3 linked regions of the Lytechinus pictus genome follow. The protein of the gene in region 3 purifies or fractionates together with the protein of the main gene of each other region. This does not show direct contact. Links are inferred from orthologs where the notes say so. Each region holds a gene or a part of one and is shown on either strand. Other genes may lie near its edges. The genes, in order: anaphase-promoting complex subunit 4-like, E3 ubiquitin-protein ligase RNF8-like and mitotic spindle assembly checkpoint protein MAD2A-like.

Region 1 (8,005 bases), on a different chromosome or scaffold from region 3:
GATGTTGACTTTGTGGCACTGGCACATTGACAGTCCTTAGACAGCACAACATTTGGTAAAAGTCTTATGAGGTAACGGTACATGTACCTCGAGCGAAGTTCGTGCAGGCTCCACTCCAGTTCATTACCGCTACACTATGCTCCACCTACCCGAACTTCGAGACCGTGAACTCGATCTGATATTCCGAGTGACAAAGGTGGGATATGTGCGAGGTACCGGGTCCGGTCCGAGCTCATGCGATGTTTTGAAATCGGCAGCGAATTATTTATGTGTGAGGAACTTCATGTTGGCTCTAAATCACCAATTTTGAGACTGATAGAAGCATGGAAAAGAAATGAAATTTTGTGTAAAGTAAGAATATTAGTTTTAATTGTTTTTAAAGATCGTGATGTTGCATGAATTTTATATTTTCCCCCCATGAAATCCCACCTTTGTCACTCGGAATATCAGATCGAAATCACGGTCTCGAAGTTCGGGTAGGTGGAGCGTAGTGTAGCGGTAGTGAAGTGGAGTGGAGCCTGTACCAACTTCGCTCGAGGTACGGTACATGTAATTAACCTGTGTTTTTAATGAAGTACAGGTAAAGTTTTTCTCTACTAACCAGCAACCAGATGAACCTCTTCCGACACCAGGGCCTATTACGTTATAAAGTTACTATTACGGTAACTTTGCTATCCAACTTCCCTGAAATCCTTGATTTTGATTGGCTGATGAGCGATGTTACCATGGTAGTTACCAATGGATAGCAAAATTACCATAATGATAAAAATGCGATGGCCCCTTGAAATTTAACAAATTAATTTTTCATGAAAAGAAAAGAAAAAATAAATCTTCCTCATTTCATGCTCTTTCCTTGAACCAGATTCACCAGTGAATGTGTAGAAAATAATGAAGTCTCTGGATTACCTGACAGTATGGCTGTTTTTAAACATTGCCAGGGCTTTATCTAATCCAAAGCCACCCTCTGTGCCCCCCCCCCCCCCCCCCCCCCGCACTTCGAAATTTTTGTGCCTTTCAAACCTTTTTTTTTTATTTGTGCTGAAATATAAGAATATACCCTTTTAAACAGTGGCCTTGACATAAAAATATTGACATCTAATACTTGCACAGCATAGTGACAAAAAGGAACTTACAGATGTAGTATGATTCTAGTTGTTGTCTTAATCTGACTTGCTGTAGCTCTTCTTTATACCTGCTGTTAATAAGATCTGTCTGATCTCTAGTCTTCTTCATAGTCAGCATTCTAACAATCTTTCCTTTGTTCCTGAAAAACATAAACACATATTGGAAAAAATGTTAAAGGCCAAGTCCACTCCAACAAAAAGTTGATTTGAATAAAAACAGAAAAATCCAACAAGCATAACGCTGAAATTTCATCAAAATCGGATGTAAAATAGAAAGTTATGACATTTGAAAGTTTCGCTTAATTTCACAAGTTATATGCACATCCTGGTCAGTATGCAAATGAGGAGACTGATGTCATCCACTCACTATTTCTTTCGTATTTTATTATATGAAATATGACATATTCTAATTTTCTCCTCATCGTCAAGTGAAACAATGATTAATTCCTCCCCAAACATGTGGAATTAGCATTGTTTAATACTACATGGTTCAGTCAAGTTGGTCCTTATTGTCAAATCTGTAAAAAATGATATAATTCAAACAATACAAAAACAAAAGAAATAGTGAGGGACATCATCGACTGTCTCATTTGCATGTCACTGAGTTGTGTGTATCACTGTTTTGTGAAAAATAAGTGAAACTTTAAAATGTCATAGCTTTCTTATTTTACATCCAATTTTGATGACATTTTCGGTGTTATTCTAGTTCGATTTTTCTCTATTGATTCAAATCTACATTTTCTGGAGAGGACTTGACCTTTATTCCTTTAATGAATAAAAATCATGAATAAAACCCTGTTCACAGTGGTGTAAAGAGCATGAAATAAAATTAAAAAGGAAAGAGAAGGATGAATGACATAATTTTCTGAATATTGTCAAAATCTTTCACAAAATTTGATTTTTGTAATGAAAATGTTGAAATTTTTGCTCCCTCACTCGCAACTTTCATTTCAAAAATATAATTTTTGCCCGATACGCCATATCTAATCCCAGCCACCCCTCAAAATGTTCGCCTCATTACGCCATTGCCTGTTCATTTATGGCCAAGATATTTTTGGCTCTTGCCCCCCCCCCCCCCCCCCCCCTGCTGGCCACACGACCTCTGGCTCTGACCTCTCTGTCTCTGTTAATTATTATTATGGCTTTCCCTGGCCCTGCCAGACCCTGGAATGATTCCAAATTAAATTCCAATTGCCAGAATAGGCAATTAGCTAAGTCCCACATAAACTTGTAGAGTTAGCTTGTTCTACTTTTCGATTGTCTTAATTTTACGTTTACTTTAATAGACTTTTGATGCACGGAGCCTAACAGTAACACATAAATATGATTGGCTCTATTCATTTGTGTGCACTAGAAATCGCACGCGCTTATATACGAATTACGATGAGTATCAACCGGGCAGAACGTTACTCGACTCAAATTAGTCTAACTGAACTAAAGAAAGCTAAAGTCGAAACTTACTTTCGGACATAGAAAAAGAACCAAAGCGAAACGACGATAACAACCATGTAAATGTTAGTTGCTTCATTCCAGTGATCGATGTGTTCCTCTGGAGGAAGACCATGGTTTTCATGCGCCATTTGGATTATTTTTAGGATCAGTCAATCAATCGCATAAAAATAACAATAAATAAAACCGTCTATGGCAGGCCATAAGGGAACCAATTATTTAGTGTCATGTGCATAGCATGCAGACTTGGAGAGAAAGTGCCAAAATGGAAACGCCATTTAAAGGCCCTTCCTAATCATGTTAAATCAGTTATGATTTTTCATATTTTAAAGAGGTATTGATTAAAGCAAACCTAAGTCACAATTACTAGTGACTTATAAATTTTGTCTTCAATCTTAAAAAAACAATAAATTATATATGTATTTCTGATGTAATTTTGTCCCACTCAATGAACCTAATATAAAACGTGTATGTTGATGGTTAAAAATAAACCACGCATCGGATGTGTTTTGGCAAATGTACTTTTTTATGAAGAGGAGCAGTGTCTTGCCTTTATATAAATTCTGATTTGTATATCGAACATGTCGACTGAGCAAAATTGGCAGCCGCACATTTGGTTAATGTGTAAAAAATTGTGGCTGGAAGGTTGTTATATCTCTAAAGACTAGCGACTCAAGTGCATGAGCAATTTTATTTTCTTGAGATAGGGCTTGATCGAGTTATGATCTATATTATTATATTTTGTAATCACTTTCTATATAGACGTAAAAGAGACAGAATGGCAAAACAAGCGTGGAATATATGACATTCAGTTTGACTTTATAAAATCATTTCACTGTAATATAAATATTCCTCTTTTAAAAAACATTTAATTCTTTACAAATATGTTTAAGTCTACATTTAGTTTAGCTAAATCCCACAAAGTTATCGCTCCAATTCATGATGAATGTGTATACTAGGGCTGTATACCCTAAATTATGACGACGTGAAGGATATGAAATAGAAATGTGTTTTATTATATATCAAAATGTTATTTCGATACTGGTGCCCGATCGAAATAAGATATCTGTTATTTTTTCATGGGGAGTTGTTATATCTTTTCAATCATGGAATTGGCTGAAAGATTTAGTATTCAATAGCTTTCTAATATGACTGATAATTTGTAGAGTAAGTGCAAGTGCTGCTTTTAATAATAAAAACATCACCCAGATACTAGGGGTACTAGGGCGCTTTTTTTAGTGAGGCCAAATAATTCAAATCCGAACGGCGAGGTGCCGTGGCCGAACGATCTATATAGCCCCTGACTACGCCATATGGAGAATTAAATATGACAAATTAAACATTTTTGTTTAAGAATTTGTTTAAACAACTACTGTACGACATAGTAAACAGCGCAAATATAGAAATAAAATATGACATGTACCGGGTATGCATCATTGACCGTCAAAGTGTGTCACGTGTTTAGATTTTTTTTAAACCTGCTGAATTGTTAGATTTTAATTCTAACGTCCGCAAAACATCTAATAATTAATGAACCCTTTACACTTTTGTAATATGTTAGATGACACTCAAGTATTACTGGCTATTTTAAAGCTTTCGACTGGCTTAAAGAAAAAAGGTTTAACTTTTAATAAAAACATGCACTTTTACTAAGGAACATTGTTAAAAGCTTTTTGCTTTCACAAATCATAATTATTTCACAAGCATAGTTTATTCGAAATTTTGGCCCACCCCCTGAAAAAACGTATAATAATAATAATAATATAGAGTATTTCTAAAGCGCCAAATCCACATTGATTATGTGCTCAAGGCGCTGTTTAAGAAAAATATATTTCATTCCCACAGTGACTCTCCACGAATCACTTCATTTGCTATGAAAATATATTTAATTTTTTATTAAAAAAACATATCACTTTTCGCAAGCATATAGTTTTTAACAAAATAATTGCTATGGGTGTTTTTAGTAAAATATTTAACTTTCTTGGAACTTTTTTTGTGAAACATTTTTTGTGAAAAGTGAAAAATACATTTTCTTAAAGTGGAATATTATGTTTGTGAAAAGATAAATGCATTGTTTTCGTAAAAGGAAAAAATATGGTTTTATACAAGAGAAAAATATATATTTCTCAGAATGAAATATTTATCCAAAAATGAAATATATTATTGTTGGAGTAAAATGAATTTTAATTTTTAATTCTTAGTTTATGGCGTCCCATATTGATCTTCCAATCCGATCCCGCGCGGAGCCTTGTTTTTTACGTTGTAAGTCATTTGTTCTAAAGTTCTGATTAATAATTTTATGAAATAGAATAGAAAATATAAATAGAGAGTCTACCTTTCATATTAACGCATCATACTTTACCCTACAAATACAATACCGTACTGGTAGTCGATGCCATGATTTTCAGCCAGGCAGGGCCAGGGGCACTGCCAGTGCCACTGACCGATCCGAGTGAGGCTGATCTGGGCTGCTACTGCTACCGGTAGCTCCGCCGCCGCCGTAACTTCGGGCGCGGGCCGAGCTCGTGCTAAGACTTGAGTCTTGACACCGGCGCGGCAAAGCTTTTGTCTTTTGACATTTTTGTAGGCCTTTTACTGAATTATGCATAGAGCCATATTTTGGTATGTACTTCCACTCTCCCATCATATATGTTCTAGAAAATTTAAGTCTAGTTTCACGAAGAAAGAAATACTCCCAGAAACAAAATTCACTCGAACTCTAGTCTAGACTAGAGTCTAGTCTAGTAGTAGTACCATGAGTACCGTTACTACTAACTTAGTAGTAGTAGTACTAGTAGTACTAGTAGTCCCGTAGTACTGGTATACTATGACAGTAGAGGCGCACGGCCAATATAGGAGACTCTCTCCAATAGGGGAGACAATCTCCCAAATTGGAGACTTGCTTTGCAAAAGGACAAAAGAAACAACACCAACAAAAGCATGTTTTTTCCACCCAAAATTTTGTCTCACTGAGGTCAGAAGCCCGTTTGTTTTGTGTGTGATTGACAACAAAAATCCTTATCAAAAATATCAAAACAAAAGTAGACGGTGAATTTTTAAAGTAGTACTAGTAGACGGTGAAAAGGGGTAATTTTGCACGAGGAATCTGCTTATCACATTTTTATTTGCCGCCAAGGTAATCCTTTTGCAGCAAATGTAAATAAAGGAAATTGGTCTCCAAAACTGGAGACTGTCTCTGAAATCGGATACCCAAATTCTTTACAAAAGTCTCTGAGTCTGATATTGGAGATAATCTCCCACATTGGAGACAGTCTCCAATATTAGCCGTGCGCCTCTACTGTATGAGGCAACTTTAAGTTTAACCAGAGCAAATTGAAATTTTGAATTATTGTTTTTTTTTTCTGCTGCACATCCATATTCCATTTCCAACAAAGAATCTGTAATAGAACAACAACATTACTGAATGACAAGGTTCATTGGTCTGTATTCGTTGGGCATCAAAAATCTATAAAGAATTCTGTAATTGTAATTATGATTCTCATATTTACTCTATACTATAGCTTTGCCATTGGCTTTGATGGGCTGTCATCTTAATGGTTTTGTTGAAACAGACAGGTCCTCATCTTGACCAAGGCATACCTTATAGATCTGAAGAAGCCACAGGATCACCCACAATGCAGCAGTCATTCCGTCAGCTTGAAGAGAGAAACCTCTCTGTAGAGGTTACCCTTATGCAGTGGTCCCCCAAGATGGATCTCATTGCCCTAGCCAATGAAAATGGAGAGGTATGTTCCTACAAAGTGTAGTATATTTAGGTCAAGTCCACCCCAGAAAAATGTTGATTTGAATAAATAGAGAAAAATCAAACTCAATTCAATTCAAATTGTTCAATTCAAATTGTTTTATTCTCTCAGTAAAACCTTTACATAAAAAACAAATATAATACAAAGTTAAAATACATGTATTACAAATCAGTGTAAAAATTGCATTATGATTCAGAATCATACTAGCATATCACAAAAAATTTCATCAAAATCGGATGTAAAATAAAGTTATGGCATTTTAAAGTTTCGCTTATTTTTCACAAAACAGTGATATACACAACTCGAGTGACATGCAAATGAGTCAGTCGATGATGTCCATCACTCACTATTTCTTTTGTTTTTTATTGTCTGAATTACACAATATTTCATTTTTTATAGATTTGACCATGAGGACCAACTTGACTGAACCATGTAGTATTAAACAATGTTAATTCCACATGTTCAGGGAGGAATTAACCGGTGTTTCACTTGGCAATGAAGAGAAAATGAGAATATTTAATATTTCATATAATGAAATACAAAAGAAATAGTGAGTGGATGTCATCAATCTCCTCATTTGCACACCGACCAGGATGTGCATTTAACTGTTTTGTGAAATTAAGCAAAACTTTAAAATGTCATAACTGTCTTATCTTACATTTGATTTTGATGAAATTTTCAGTGATATGCTTGTTGGATTTTTCTATTTTTATTCAAATCAACTTTTTGTTGGGGTGGACTTGTCCTTTAACAGTAAATTACCAGTTGGTCTACACCAGGGTTGAGCTCAATTACTTTCTTCAATTACAATTACGTAATTGAAGAAATGTTCAATTACAATTACTTTTCAATTAAATTACATTTTTTCAATTACAATTACCAATTGCTTTTGTCAATTACAATTACAATTACTCAAAAAATGTAATTGATTACGTAATTGATCAATTACCTTGTAATTGAGCACAACCCTGGTCTACACTCTTCTTTTTCTTCCTGTTTTGTTCCATCTTACATGGTCTTATCTTAATCCATCTACAAATGGCTATCTAACCGTTTGGTCTAATTGCTTTGTAGCTCATTTACCATTTTGTTTAATTTCCAGTTAGACTCTGCCCATTTTGTAGGGAAAAAAATGAAATACAAGTCTAAAATGGATACTTGTAATTCATTGAAATTAAATTTGTGTTTGATTTCTGGATTTGAGTTTTGATTGCATTGTATTCTGCAGCAAGGCCCATACAACCAGTTCATGAGATTGAGTTTTGGAAGAAATGTTTGCAAGTTGTTGATTATAGTGCACCTCAAAATCACTGGATATGCTGTGAGAAGTTTGGATCTCCCATTTTGCTGCTCACTTCAATCTTAATCACTATCGTTCAGTCAATTTTTTGTTGTATTTTGAATGTTAGGGCTTTTGAAGATAAGTCATTTGCAATAAACCTATTTATTATTGCTTTCACCCCTCTTAATGAATTTCAGCATCTGCCTGATTGCAAAAGTGTGATAAGAATTTTGGGAGAATTTTTGGTAATTCATGTTTATTTTATTAATTTCCATCAAATGTGGAACTTAATAACTCATTTCCATGTTTTACCTTAGTCTCCTGTTAGATCCTGGTATTAAAAGTAAGAAGAAAGTCATTGTGAAAGGAAAATTCAGCAAGGAATT
Region 2 (7,310 bases), on a different chromosome or scaffold from region 3:
ACCCGCGATCGGGGGCATACCGGCAGGTTAACCCGTACCGCAACAGGTGCGGGTTACAACATTATTTAAAACGTCAAAAAAAACACAAACAGAAATTAAAAAGAATGGAATTAGCGATTGGGGAACTCTAATATAATGTTCACAATTTTTTTACTGCTTTTCAATGGTTATATAGTTCCGATGATTACACCTTTTTAACTCTCAATGCTTCTATAGGTTATCCTTAATTCATCTATCCCGCTAGTCAATCTATATGCTTCGGATGGGGGGGGGGCGGGCAAAAGTGATTTTTTTTTTTGCTGATCGCTATACGCATCCGATATTTTAATAGAGAATTTTTTTTGTTGTTGTATGTTTGATATTTCTATGTCAGGTTTAATTTTTCTTAAAGTGCTTTTCAAGATTTACATTTCATATTTATTTTTTCAAGTCCTCAAAATTATTGGGGGCATGTATGAATTATGCTTGCTCCCATATTTTAGGGGCGATCGTCCCCTGCCTGCTCCACAATCGATCGAGGCCTCTGTCTCCTGTCATAATTTTTTTATCCATGCTGTCTGACTCCATCCTGTGTTCTGTGTATATACGTTGTATCTACATGTGTGTAAACCAGCTAGTGAAAGAAGAATTTCCTTTATGTACAAGAAAGTTATTCAATTCAATTCAATTCTTAATTGTCACATTCACCCCGATCCCCACGTCTCTTTCTTACCCTAACTTTTATTTAGCTGTATGCGCTTACAAAATTATGTCAAAATGCAAGCTTCGTGTCACCGAGAGCGCACTCCCCCTTTCCCTGAAATTTTTGCACGATTTGTTTCTTTAATTCAGTCAATCAACTATTTGTTGGGGTGGACTTGTCCTTTAACATTTACTAGAAACACTAATGATTGTACAGTTAGGAACCATTTCTTCTGTGTAATTTTTGGGCACATAAACACAATCTATTTTGCTATTTTTTCAGAAGTTATAGGGAATTATTATTAACATTAAGTTATTAACAAAAACACCCCCATTTTAGGATTGATTTATTAATCCTATCCAATATTATGGAAAAAAGATTCTTGGATTGTGTGTTCTACTGTCACAGAACTATATTACTGTGTATCTAAGTGTTTTATTGGTAGTGGACACCTACATTATATATAATCAAGTGTGGTGATGTCTACACTGCATTTTAAAGTTTTAACAGATGTAATCACAGAGTTTTGATTATGTATTAATCTGGGTGGCCTCATTTGCACCATCAGACATGATGAGTTCATAGGCATCCAGTCTGAAAAACAAAGGGAAAGTGGTGAAATTTACTACAGTTCTGGCATGCCCAATAATACCTTACACAAGTAAACTAAGATAAAAGTTAATACACATTACTGGGTAGGTACAGTACTCGCCTCTCTAAGGTGGCAATGCTACTTTCAAAATTTTGATTTTGAGGTGCTGCTGGGTTTGTGCTCCTCCTGGCCATGTGCACTGGGCTGTGAGACGTTCTCTATACTCGAAATCTGTGCTAAGCCTAAGGAACTCAAATATTTTATGAACAGTAATCCATTTGAGCTACCATTCTTGAGCAGTGAGCTAAAAACTCACAGGCAGCCTTATTTACCCCACTCTCCCCTATACATGTATCTTGTGAGGCTGCATAGGCAGATCCAGGGGGGGGGGGCAGGGCCCCCCCCCCCCTCCAGTGGCAGAGCAAAAAAAAAATGAAAAAAGGGGGAAAGAAAGAAAAAAAGAAGGGGAAAGAAAATAGGAAAAACTTAGGAAAAGAGGAGGGAGACGAGTGAATAAAATAGGTCAGGGGAAGTCTTGGAAAATGATTTTAGCATATATTTTCATGTCACTATTAGATGTTTGCTCGCGCTTCGCGCTTGTATAGCCTGTTCAATGAGATACATATCTTGCTCAATAGGCTGATATGTAGCTTAAAATATCAAGTTTTGAAGTCAATATACATAGCATATTTCAGCTTCGACATCAAGCTTTCATTATTTTGTTTGATTTACAAATTGATTTTTTAAAGTGTTCTATAAAATGTCCGTTTTATCGTGTGAATATCATATGCAGTTCTTTGCGCTGTGCGCTTGCATTATTTGATTTGCCAAGTAGGACAACATATTGTCTTTGTTTATTCCATAAGATTCTTTATATATTAATTCTATAACAAACTACTTAAAATCCCCCTTTTATGACAGTTTATCAAAAATTTCGTCTCACGATTTGCGCTCGCATTATCGTTGAAAATATATTAACTCATAAATCCTATGATTATTTGATTTGCCAAGTAGGGCAACATATTGTCTTTGTTTATTCCATAAGATTCTTTATATATTAATTCTATAACAAACTACTTAAAATCCCCCTTTTATGACAGTTTATCAAAAATTTCGTCTCACGATTTGCGCTCGCATTATCGTTGAAAATATATCAACTCATAAATCCTATGATTATTTGATTTGCCAAGTAGGGCAACATATTGTCTTTGTTTATTCCATAAGATTCTTTATATATTAATTCTATAACAAACTACTTAAAATCCCCCTTTTATGACAGTTTATCAAAAATTTAGTCTCACGATTTGCGCTCGCATTATCGTTGAAAATATATCAACTCATAAATCATATTCATGATTACAAAAGTGTTTAAAATATCCAGTTTTCAGGCCTCAATGTTAACAGCTTTTACTCACTCTTTATAGTCTTATTATATTAATAAACATGATGATAACATTTTCATAAATTCCTTATAACTAAATTGTCCCTTTTTCAGAAAGGAATATCGACAAGTTTCATATCGCGCTTAGGAAGAGGAATAGGAAGATAGTCATCATTTTCATATGATGAGAACATGTCCTTAGGCCTAGGTCCAGGTCCTAGGTCAGAATAATAAAAATATCAGCTCGCGCTTCGTACTCGCATCATTTATTAAGTGCTGTCCACATCTACTTCACAATTTCCCTACACAGTGCTTAAATTCACCCTTTTCATATCGGAATATCAATTTTTTCCGCACGCGCTTTGCGCTCGCATTTTTGATTTTCATGATAAAAGATGATGTATTCAGCTTGATCTTTATTCAGAACGTGCTAAAATATCTGGTTTCAGATCAGAAAATCAAAAATTTTCTGCTCTTGATTGCGTTTGCATTATTAATGTAGGAAGATACCAAATTACCCATCCTTTTTCATGATTTACAAAACATGAATAGAGTTTCCAATTTTTAGGTCTGAAATCTCATTTTTTTTCCGGCATCAATTGTTTTGTTTTATACCTATACCGTTGATGATTACAAAAAATGCTTGGAATGTCAATTTTTTAGGTCAAAAGGTCAAAAAAAATTCTGCTCGCGCTTCGCGCTCGCATTATTTAATAGTTAAAATATGTATCGTCTTAATGGCTTACTGCAAAATGTCCTTAACAGGTCCCTTTCTGATCAAGCCAGAATCCATATTAAAAATGTATTCTCGCGCTTCGCGCTCGCAATAATTATCTGGTTACATACGCATCTTGTTCAGGTTCACAAACATTGCCCAGAATATTCAATTTTAAGGACAAAATACATTAAATTCCAATAATTTTCAGCTCGCACTTCGTGCTCGCACTATTTAAATAGGGCTTATGACATTATTACACTTTTTTATGTTGTTTTATAAAAATAAAGCTAAGAAATGACTGTTAGGACATCAGAGTTTTGCCCCCCCCCCCCTAATTTTTCAAGACCAAGAAAAAAAAAATAGAAAAAGAAAGGCATAAGGATGAAATATAGGCCTATTATTTTACAAATGTTATGTCAAAATCTATCACAAACTATGATTTTTGTAATAAAAATGTCGAAATTTTTGCTCGCTCGCAACTTCTTATCAATTTTATGCGATACGCCATATCGAGCCCCCTAAAGATGTTTGGCTCATTACGCCACTGGGAAAATCCCTTCAAAGAAACAAACAAAAAAATCATCTTTGAACGGCTGATCGGGGAGAATATGGGTGAAAAAAAATTTCTGGCCCCCCTATTGGCAGGAGCTGGATCCGCCCCTGAGGCTGTGCCTCAATTTCTAAAATACCGGGTATGTACATATTATTATGGGAAAATATGAAGTAGAAGTGAATGTAACTCAAAAATTCAAAACAGTTTCAGGTTTTTCTGTACATTTAATGATTTATTGCAGCCTTTGTTCTTCATCTGTAGAAAACTTAAATAGGAATCGCCTGTCACACTGCAGCCACAGTTTCACACACAGATTGCGCAACTGCGCATTTTGCCATTGAAATTGCTTGTGCGACAATTGGTGCGTAGTTTTAAGACCCCCTACCATATGCTTAGCCTTAATAGGTAGACAGCTAAAATCTATCTATCTGGAGTAGCAGAATAACTGATGAAACAGAGACTGAAGCTGTCATTCTAGTGCTAACTATAGTATTAAACATACCATGGCATATGTAGCATACTGCTAGCCGAGTGCTAGCCATAATTGTTTTAGGCCCATAAGCTAGCAGAACATTAAATTTAAATAAAAAACAACAACCCACAAACATTATGTTAGTTGTAAGTTTGTTGTACAGGTAGGTGCTCAAATCTACACAGTGCTCCTTGTCTGCGCATGCGCATATCTGCGCAATTTTAATAAAAGAAGACCTGCAACAACCACAAACTTTACACCTGCAATATATTATAGATCTAGACAGATATTGAAAAATCCAAGTCAAAGTGGTGGAAAAATATTGAATTTCAGGCATTTCATGTAACAGCCTCAAAATGCAGTCTTTCTCATACAAATCCCTGAATTGTGTGTAAAGTGAATGGGTGTGCGCCATTGTTTAGTTCAATCAAAATGACTGGCTGTGGGGTTTTTCAAAGAAGATCATATATTTCTCTCAAATTGTTATGAGATTTTTGGCACATTTACTTTCAAGAATATAAGGAACCTTATCAACTTAGAATTTTATCGGATTTGAAATGAATTCACGCTCAATATTAGGTTAAGGTTAGATGCGCTGACATGCCCCACCCCCAGGACACGATGGAATTTACAATGAATAAAGAAAGTTCTATGTGCGATTGTCCCGTTTTAGTTATGGGGGGAACAGGGGTAAGGATGGGTGATCTGTTGTCCAGACAGTCTAGCAGATGAAATCATATTTTGTTTTGGATTTCCGCAACATTGGTGCATTCAATACTAAAATAATTTAGAATATTTGTGCTTTGTAATTTTGTCTGATATTACTTTCAATTCTTAAATAAATGTTAATCTCAAAGTTCCTGAAATTACCGTCTTGTCCGTACAAATTACCTATCCGGACACACAACAATGGGGTATACTGAACAATGAGTTTGAATTTCATATCTTTGTTTTTGGCATAGCCACTGGTCAAGGAATGACAAAATCTATTGAACATCGAGATAAAAACAAAGAGCAATTTTAACTCATTAAATGGTTGTGTAGCAATTAGCAACAAGATGTAAAACAATACACACCAAAAGTGAGGTAATATTAGACAAGGCTCCATATAAACTCTTTTTTTTTGTGATGGCCTGAATGCCACCGAATAAACGTATGGTGCCCTTATATATGGAATAAATATTTAACAAGTTGTGACTACTTTGATCCTTATATTTGCTTCCCAGGCAAGCAATAATCATTTTCGTCCAAATTTCTTCTTTAAATTTGATATGAAGGTAACTGTTGGAAGAGGGATGGATGTGAGCATTCAGTTGCTAGCGTCACAGAACAATCTATTCCTCTCAAGAAAGCACTGTACATTCAAACAAGTGGAAGGTGGAGGATGGACAGTGATTGATAACAAGGTATGTTATGTCATTGAAATTCACATTATTATACTGAATGTTTGTATTTTGGGTCATATTCTTTGTTACTGAACTTTGAACTGAATTTTCAATCGTGTTTTTAGAAAGTTATCCTTTGTCTTGTCTGTTGATGGAGGAAATAAATCCTAGTATTTCATATAGGGGTGAATTATACTTGATTTTTTTAATCTGGAAAAAATTATGAGAATACAACAAGAAACCTGTTCTGATCCCGTACTAAAATTTAAAATTGTACATGTATATCAATTGGGCTATTGAAAATTGATTATCTATTTCATGTTTTCAGAGCCTGAATGGTGTTCAGATTAATGACAATCGGGTAAAACCAATGGAGCCGGCAAACCTGAGAATTGGAGATAAATTAGAGTTGGGTCAGGCAAACAAAGGACAAGTGAATGAGTTTATCTTCACAGTGTGCTGCATAGACCATTCCGCAGAGGAAGTGGACAAACTCCTGAGAGCTTGGAAGAGGAGGGCCGAAAAAATCAAGCTCAAGTTGGCGGCAAAATCTTCTCAACCCATGGACAGCGAAAATAGTGTAAAGTCAGATTCTCAGTCGGGTAGTCTTGGCTGTTCATCATCGGGTGATAGAAAACGAAAAGAAAGAGATGAACAGAATGTTAGAAGTAGTGCATTCAATGAACCTTCCACCTCATCTGATGTAAAGAGGACTAGACTTTCTCTTGATGGTAATCTTAAGAACTCTGGATTTAGGCAGCTCATGGAGGAGGTAGGGGCCAACATGACAGCTGAAGAATTGAAAGCAATAACAGAACTCTTAGCAGAGAAGAAAGGAGAGAACAAAGGAGAGAGTGTACTTGAAAGACTTCGATCGACTGTGAAGAAGCAGGAGGAAGTGGAGGAGAAGAATGCCAAGCTTGAGGTTGAATACAAGACCAGGGTGGAGGAGAAGGAAGAGGAACTGAGGCAAAAGGACAAAGAGCTTGTAGAGCAAAAAAGACTTCAAGAAGAAGCAGTAGAAATGCAAAAGAGACTCTTAGAGGAGAAGGAAGAAGCATTGGCAAAGATGAAATGTGAGATGGAGGAGGTGTTGGAAAAGCAGGTCAAGGAGAAAGAGACAGCTCTAATGGAACAGCTCAAACAACAGAGAGAAGAACTCAAACATGAGAAAGAAAAGGTAAATTGATTTAAATTCACATTAGTGACTAATTCAGAGTAATTATGATTATTGAAAGGTCCAGATTCATTCCACCAAAATCAGTTTTTACACAAAGAATTCTGTCACGGGCCAAATGGGTCATTCCATCTGGATTCACTCAGTGGTTGCACCCGACCCTCTCAGTTTTTTTGTCTCACCTGCATAGCAGAGTGAGACTATAGGCGCCGCTTTTCCGACGGCGGCGGCGGCGGCGTCAACACCAAATCTTAACCCGAGGTTAAGTTTTTGAAATGACAGCATAACTTAGAAAGTATATGGACCTAGTTCATGAAACTTGGCCATAAGGTTAATCAAGTATTACTGAA
Region 3 (7,884 bases):
CTTTTGTACCCGTACAAAATCTATGCTGATTAATAATATTGAATATTAGCATGCATTGGCAGCGGAAGCATCAAAATTTAGGGGCGGAGCGGAAAAACTGTTTTCACCTACATTTTCCCAGTCAGCTGCTAAAAGCTGATTTTCTTCATATTTTTGTTTATGGGGTAGTCCACACTAAAGTCTGAAGTTTTAGTTTTCCTTACAAACAAGATGAGATATCTAATAAGGCAGACGCATTACAGGATTTGCAACCCGTGGGCCCCACCTGAGTTTGGCGCCCTTGTGTACTTTTAGAAAAATGGCGGCCCCCATGAACATGAATGATGACCAGGATGGGTGTCTATACAAACATTTTATGCAAGCACGAAGCGTGAGCTGAAAAAAATGATATTCTGACCTAAAATTTAGACATTCTAAGCACTTTTGGTCCTCAAGCAAGACGGGTATTTACTTAAACATTTTATGCGAACGCGTAGCGCGAGCAGAATTTTTTTGACATCCCGACCCAAAACCTGATATTCTAAAGCACTTTTTGTAACCATGAACATGCAAGATGGGTATACCCATATCTATCTAAACAATTGATGTAAGCGCGAAGCGCGAGCTGAAATATTTTGGTAATCTGACCTAAAATCTAGACATTCTTAGCTCTTTTGGTAATCATGAACAGAATGGCTATCGAACTAAACATTGTATGCGAGCGTGAAGCGCGAGGTGAAAATTTTGGATATTCCGACCCAAACCTGAGGATTCTAAAGCACTTTTTGTGACCATGAACGCGATGGGTATCTTTCTAAACAATTGATGCGAGCGCGAAGCGCGAGCAAAAAAAAAGATATCCGGACCCCAAAGCTCAGATTCTATGCACTTTTTGAAACGATGAACAGGATTTTTGTTTTGTAATAATATTTATTAATCATTCAGTTCAAAGTAATGGTACATTGTAAAATATTACAAATCAATATTAACAAAACACTGTTCACAAAAGACAAATAATTATCCATAATACAAATAATCGTTCATGTCATGGTATTAACATATATGATATACAGTGGATAAATTCAGTAACAAAAATCAACAATTAATAACCAATATAAATTCACAAAATCATACAATAGCTATGCAGAAAATTGATTGCTCGACATTGATTAAACTGAATGAAATTTATAATATAAAAAAAACCGGAAAGGGTTCGAGAGCTCACTCCCCACACACGTCCATAAAATAACGAAATCGCTCTCACACCCAACCCCCCCCCACACACACACACAGACAAGACACAAAACAATTAGACAATACAAACAAAAACAATACAAAAAATAAGAAAAGCAGGAAGAAGGAAAGAAAGAAAGAAAGAGAGAGAGAGAGAGAGAGAAAAAGAAAAAAAAAGAGAAAGAAAGAAAGGAGATAAGTGACATGCAAAGTAAAGAAAAGCGGACAGTTTATAGTGACAGACAGACCAGCCAACCCCGCACGTGTGCAAACCGGATAAAGCCATCCCTTCCTCATCCTACTTAATTAATTGCTTTTTAGGTGTTCCCACTTTTTATAGTGCTGTGTTAATGTTTTTCGCTCTATAGCAATTTTCTTTTCTTCTTCTTTACTTTTAAAAAGCTTTACTTTTATCTCTTCAGCAGTTGGTAGTTTATGATTCCCCCTTCCGTGATATATTAAAAATTTGATAAGTAAAATGATATGATTTAATAATTGTCTATTTTCTGTCGTCTCTTCTAATCCAACATGGATATCCTTCCACTGTAAGCTTTTAAGAATCGGAAATTTTAATATATTGCTACACAATTTCCATAATACTTTAACCATTTCACATTCGTAAAAAAATATGTCTATAAGTTTCTTCATCTTTACCGCAAAAAGAACATTCATTACTCGATACAAATCGAAACCTATATAAATGGTGGTTAACAAAGATAATATTGTATAATAATTTATATTGAAACTCTCTTAACTTATTATCTAATGTGCAAAATCTTGGACGATAAAATACTTTTTCAATTTCTTTTTCAGACATGTTATATGACGATTCGAGATTGTAAAAACTGACAGGAGTGTCGGCAATCTTGTTTATACATGATCTATACAGCTGTTTTGAACAAACTGACTCAAACTGGAAAACATTTTTAAAGAAAATAAATTCAATCTTCAAACCATCAACTAAGGTATTATTTTTTAATTCGACTTTCCATTCTACAGGAACATGTGCAAATATTTCATTAATTGTTACTATTTCGTCGTCATTTACACCCATAGATCTAAAATAAGTATTTGATTTAAGTTCACCGTGTTCATCTACAATATGGTGCAATTTGTATGTGTTTTTTAAGAAAATATTTTCATGAAAATACGCTTTTCCTTCATTTTTAATATACCTGTTATTGAAAAAAATTTCATTTCTTTTATTACTTATGTCCTTTTTGATGAACACAGTTATATCAAACCAAATACTTAACATTTCCTGGTAGTACTTTGGAATTTTTATATTGATCATATCAGGTGTAAAATTACAGTAAAAAATTAAATTACCACCTAATGGTCTTAGCAGAAATTTGAAATATTTTTTCCATTTCACTTTCTGGTCACCGTTTACCAGTCTTTTGACCCACATCACTCTCTGTACCATTACAAAAAGTTTAAAATTGAGCATTTTTATTCCCCCTTGTTTATATCCCAGATACAATGTGTTTCTTTTAATTTTATCTTTTCCTCGCCATAAAAAGTCGAAACAAATTTCTTCAATTTCTTTAAAAGCCCATTCCGGCATAGGCGTTAAAGAACTTACATAAATCAATTTAGAAAATGCATATGTTTTTAGCAGATGAATCTTTCCAAACAAAGTTAGATCTCTTTGTTTCCACCAATTTAATAACTTTTTAATTTTGCTTAATATTTCTTTATAATTCATTTCTTCAGCAACGTCAGGATTTAATGAAAAGACAATACCTAGAATTTTAACCATATCAACTTGTTTCCCAAAAGGGAAAGGGTGAGTAAGGCTTACAGAGGGTCCTAGAGGCAAAATAAACGTTTTATTTTTGTTCATCCTAAGTCCAGATGTCTTCCTAAAATTTTCAAGAATTAATTCTAGTCTATATACTGAATCTAAATCTTCTACGAATATAGTCATATCATCAGCATAAAGTATTTGTTTAACTTCCGTTTCACCAAATCGAATACCCTTTACTAAATTATCATTACGAATACAATGCGTTAAACATTCTATACAAAGTATAAAAAGGTAAGGGGAGAGGGGATCCCCTTGTCTTAGCCCCCTCTCGATTGCAAAATAACCGGTCGATTTCCCCCCATTAAAGACACAACTCAGCGAGTTGGTATAAAGAACATTAACCCAGTTACTAAAAATCGGCCCAAAACCAAACGATTTAAGCACCCTTTGAAGGAAGGAATGTGAAATTGAGTCAAACGCCTTTTCAAAATCGATTGCAACTAAGTATCCTGGTTTATTAAAATTTGATGTATGAAAAATCATATCGTTTATTATTCTTACAGCATCGCCAATATTCCTATTAGTTAAGTAACCTACTTGGTCGCCTGACACAATATTATCCAAAATGGTCTTAATTCTTTTAGAAAGTATTTTGGTTAGGATTTTATAATCTACATTAAGCAAGGAAATTGGTCTATAATTGCTAATAAACATCGGATCTTTACCTTCCTTATGTATAATTGTAATTATTGCTTGTTTTTGTGAAGGTGACAATTCTTTATATTTCATAGCATCATTAAAAGCATTTAAGACTAGGTCACCTATTACCTGCCAAAATGTAATATAAAACTCGACATTTAAACCGTCATTTCCTGGTGATTTATTTAATTGCATTTCTTTTAAAATTTCAATACAATCCCCCTGGTTTATTTTCACTTCGCAATGATTTCTTTGGTTTTCGCTTAGTTTTGGTAAGTTACTAGGAAAAAAACAGTCACCAGGTTCTACCTCTCCTTTAGAATATAAGGAAGAATAAAATTCTTTTATTTCTTTTAAAATACTAGTTTCGTCATTAATTACATTTCCATTAACTTTAAGTTCTTTAATAAAACCTTTCCGACCATTATAATCTACCAGTTGTTTAAAATATGCAGTTTCTCGTTCTCCACTTTCAAACCATGGGGCTCGAGATCTGATTTTAATACCTTCATTTAAGTACGCATATATTGTTTTTAGCTCACTTCTTTTTCTTGCCAAAAGATCAATCAAAATATAATTTGTGTTCGATGATGTTTGCTGTAATTGAACTTTCTCTTCCAATTTCATAATTTCCTTTTCTAACTTATCAACCTTCTCTTTTCTTTCTTTAGCTTTTTTCTTAGAATATTTTCTTGTGAAATTTCGAATTTCCATTTTAACATAATCCCACAGTATTCTATTATCCATAATCTCTTCAGACAGCTGAAGTTTTAGACGAGTTATTTCCTCTTTCAGGATGGTCACGATGCGATCATCGATGCGATCGATGAGCGAGATGCTGACTTGAAACGGTAACACTTGAATTACTGCATTATTGCATTATGAAGGGTAATAAATAAATCCCGTCCGCCCGCGGAAGCATGGGTGTATACCGCCAAGATGTTCTAATTATAATTTACCGTTAGCATGGCCCTGGGAAGCGGGGGCGCTGGGATGAAGCACCCCAAAATTTTCTTTGGGAGTGCTGCTGGGGCAGCAACCCAGGAATTATGTTAGGTGTTAAAACTAATGGAGAAAGGTTACGATAATTACCTACACTCATGTAGTGAAAACCTTTTTTTTAAACATATTTTTTCTTTTTTGCTTGTCAAATTACGTACATCAGCACCCCCAGTAAAAAAAATCGTTCTATAGCACAGGGCCCTGAATATTAGAGATTAGTATGCTGTGCAAACCCTTCACTCAAGTTAAGGGTCTGAATGTGCAGCTAACTGATGCATTGTGCACTGAAGGCCCTCTCACTCGGGAATTGAAACAGCAAGTTAGTCTTTGCGTGGAAAACTTGTGGATGTGTTGAAGGTCTAGTCCACCCCAACAAAATGCTGAAAATTTTATCAAAATCGGATGTCAAATAAGAAAGTTATGACATTTCAAAGTTTCGCTTATTTTTAAAAAAATAGTTATATGAACGAGCCAGTTACATCCAAATTAGAGAGTCGATGATGTCACTCACTCACTATTTCTTTTGTTTTTTATTGTTTGAATTATACAATATTTCAATTTTTACGAATTTGACGATTAGGACCTCCTTGTCTGAACCACAAAATGTTAGAATAATGGAATTCCACGTATTCAGGGAGGAATGAAACTTCATTTCACATGACAATGACGAGAAAATCAAAATATTTAATAATTCATATAATAAAATACAAAAGAAATAGTGAGTGAGTGATGTCATCAGTTCCCTCATTTGCATACCGACCGGGATGTGCATATAACTATTTTGTGATATTAAGCGAAATGTTAACACGTCATAACTTTCTCATTTTCCATCCGATTTTGATAAATTTTCAATGTTTTGCTTGTTGGATTTTTCTCTTTTTATTCGAATCAAGGCAAGGTCTGACGTGACATGCCTGCAGAGTCTAGACTAGTACGACCCTGGAGGCTGGATATATAGACCAATCACATCACGTTGTTTACAAGCTCGGAGAAGATCGAAAAATGGCGGGGACAGCTACTAAAACTAAAAACACAATTACCTTGAAAGGATCAAGTGAAATTGTTGCAGAATTCTTCTGTGAGTATCTTTCCAACTCAAGCGATATTATTCCTTAGATGACGGTAAATTCCCAGTTGAAGCGATGAATTTAAAGAAGTTTAGTTCAGTGGAGCGCTCGAGGGAGAGTTACGCGCATGGAGTTAGTTCAGTCCCATTCGTTGTGAATTGTGCCATGTTCAAAATCTTATGATGCTGATTGCATAAATTTAATTTATTGTCGACCTGTCAATTTCCTTGATATTGTAATTGAGTTTTTGCTACAGATGTAACTTTTAGAGTACTAGACTGTAATGTGGCATTCTTAATTTGACCCCCCCTCGAATTTTCCGCTATGCCGCAGCGCAAATTTTTTTGAACGCGTCGCCGTCGCTCGCTGACTTTACTTTCAAATTCAAGTCTTGCTCATCTTTTGAGACCGATTTTGCCTCGCCCAAGTACCGTATGGGCACTAGTATTCAACCCGGCATAATTCAAAGATTTTGACAAATTCCCCCAAATATTTAGAAATAGGTCTGATTAGGGAATTCATCTTAATTTCAGAATCATACCTTTGAGTTGACTATTTCCAGGGTAATCTGTTGTCGGTATTTTCTTTAAAGTTATCAATCTGTCGACTGTATGCGTGAAGGATCGAATTATGCGGCGATGACCTTTTGCACTGAATTGCACTAGTATTCAACCTAGTGATGATAGATAGCGAATCTCAAAATGGTTTAGATTGCTAAACTAGATCTATGTAAGTCTCTGGCGCTGGCTTTGATTAATTACCTGTTTATGTTTGGTCTCGTCTCAAATGATCTAGTCCATTGTCGGATGGGACAAGGTCAAGGGCAGATTGAGAGACAGGGCCATCTTTCATCGCTAGGTTGAATACTAGTGCCAAAAACCATCGTTGTATAATTCGATTGCCCGCACACATAGTTGATGGGTTGAAGGAAAAAATAACGGAAAAAGAATAACCAGTATGCAGTATTTGCTCTTTAGTCTTGGAAATAAGATGGGTCTGAAATTCAGGTTAATTCTATATTTCTATATATTTGAGGAAACTCTCCAAACGGGTTCAATACTAGTGCCCTTACGGTACCCGTTTCCGAAATTACGCGATATTTTGTAAGTGCATGGCGGTCCAAAAATTGCTCAAAAACGTGATTAAGTCAATGCAAATTGTGTTTTTCAACCAAAAATCATCATCATAAATGATTATTTTTACTTTTGTTGGTGTCTAACGTTAGACCTAGATCAGTAGATGGATTTATTTTATGATATTTATGAATGCAAAAGGGTCCCAGACAGAGTTCATAAAAAAAAACAATAAAAAACAAAGGTTTGAAAAAACAAATAAATACATAAGAATAAAAAAAAACGGCCTTATCGTGAAATTTGTCACCTCTCTTGTCGTGTGTGTCGGTGTGTGTGCGATCGTTGTGTACAAAGTCAATGGGAGTGGAAAGATGTCACCACCGCTGACGAAATAAAAGGCAATGAATGGACTGGTGACATAAACCACGATAATGCCAAAAAAACAATAAGAAATTAAGATAGATCTACATAGACTATAGGAAATTAATTATTTTTCAGCAATTTTTTTGTAGATTTTTGTTAGAAATGTAAAAATCTATATGTTCACCAAAAATTTGCATTCTACTAGCTATATAAATTGAGTTATTAAAGGCAAAAACATACACAAAAACCAAAATTAGGGCAAATTTCATACGCTTATTTGCTTAATTAATAAAAAATATAAGCAATTAATTTTTTGAAAATTTTACTTTATAATCTTGCAGTTTACATCCGGCTCTATGTGCGTGCAAATTTTCACAGCAATCACGCAATCAACAGCCGAGATCTGAGTGGGGGGGGGGGGTGAAATTCCCCCCCCCCCCCCCAGTATATGTTGGTCTGAAATGGCCCAGTTAAAATGGGTTTAGTAATTGTGTTTTCTTTCTCTAGATTATGGCATCAATAACTTGTTGTACCAGCGTGGCATCTATCCAGCAGAGACATTTGCAAGATGCGACATGTATAAGTTACCCCTTCTGACGACCACAGATGAACACCTCAAAGCTTACCTGTCAACGGTCATGGATCAACTCAAAGGTTTGTCTCTCCCCTTTCATGTCTTAAAGGTCAAGTCCACCTCATAAAAATATTGATTTAAATC

The links.
Region 1: the proteins of mitotic spindle assembly checkpoint protein MAD2A-like (region 3) and anaphase-promoting complex subunit 4-like purify together in Homo sapiens (affinity purification with western blotting; 14 studies listed by BioGRID and IntAct, with this or other methods). This does not show direct contact. The link is inferred for Lytechinus pictus from reciprocal best matches to the Homo sapiens genes MAD2L1 and ANAPC4.
Region 2: the proteins of mitotic spindle assembly checkpoint protein MAD2A-like (region 3) and E3 ubiquitin-protein ligase RNF8-like purify together in Homo sapiens (co-immunoprecipitation; 3 studies listed by BioGRID and IntAct, with this or other methods). This does not show direct contact. The link is inferred for Lytechinus pictus from reciprocal best matches to the Homo sapiens genes MAD2L1 and RNF8.

The regions. Positions count from the first base shown.
Region 1 is NC_087256.1:13,044,784-13,052,788, reverse strand, and holds the start of anaphase-promoting complex subunit 4-like, read left to right. Parts: upstream 1-4,792; 5' UTR 4,793-4,835; intron 4,836-4,960; exon of another isoform or gene 4,961-5,195; intron 5,196-6,094; 5' UTR 6,095-6,127; coding exon 6,128-6,319; intron 6,320-8,005. Other genes in the region: small integral membrane protein 19-like, read right to left, coding at 1,134-1,264, 2,586-2,704. UniProt on the Homo sapiens protein: Component of the anaphase promoting complex/cyclosome (APC/C), a cell cycle-regulated E3 ubiquitin ligase that controls progression through mitosis and the G1 phase of the cell cycle.
Region 2 is NC_087251.1:18,828,239-18,835,548, forward strand, and holds the start of E3 ubiquitin-protein ligase RNF8-like, read left to right. Parts: upstream 1-4,099; 5' UTR 4,100-5,669; coding exon 5,670-5,804; intron 5,805-6,111; coding exon 6,112-6,963; intron 6,964-7,310. UniProt on the Homo sapiens protein: E3 ubiquitin-protein ligase that plays a key role in DNA damage signaling via 2 distinct roles: by mediating the 'Lys-63'-linked ubiquitination of histones H2A and H2AX and promoting the recruitment of DNA repair proteins at double-strand breaks (DSBs) sites, and by catalyzing 'Lys-48'-linked ubiquitination to remove target proteins from DNA damage sites.
Region 3 is NC_087262.1:14,784,588-14,792,471, reverse strand, and holds the start of mitotic spindle assembly checkpoint protein MAD2A-like, read left to right. Parts: upstream 1-4,803; 5' UTR 4,804-5,165; intron 5,166-5,402; 5' UTR 5,403-5,665; coding exon 5,666-5,741; intron 5,742-7,673; coding exon 7,674-7,820; intron 7,821-7,884. UniProt on the Homo sapiens protein: Component of the spindle-assembly checkpoint that prevents the onset of anaphase until all chromosomes are properly aligned at the metaphase plate.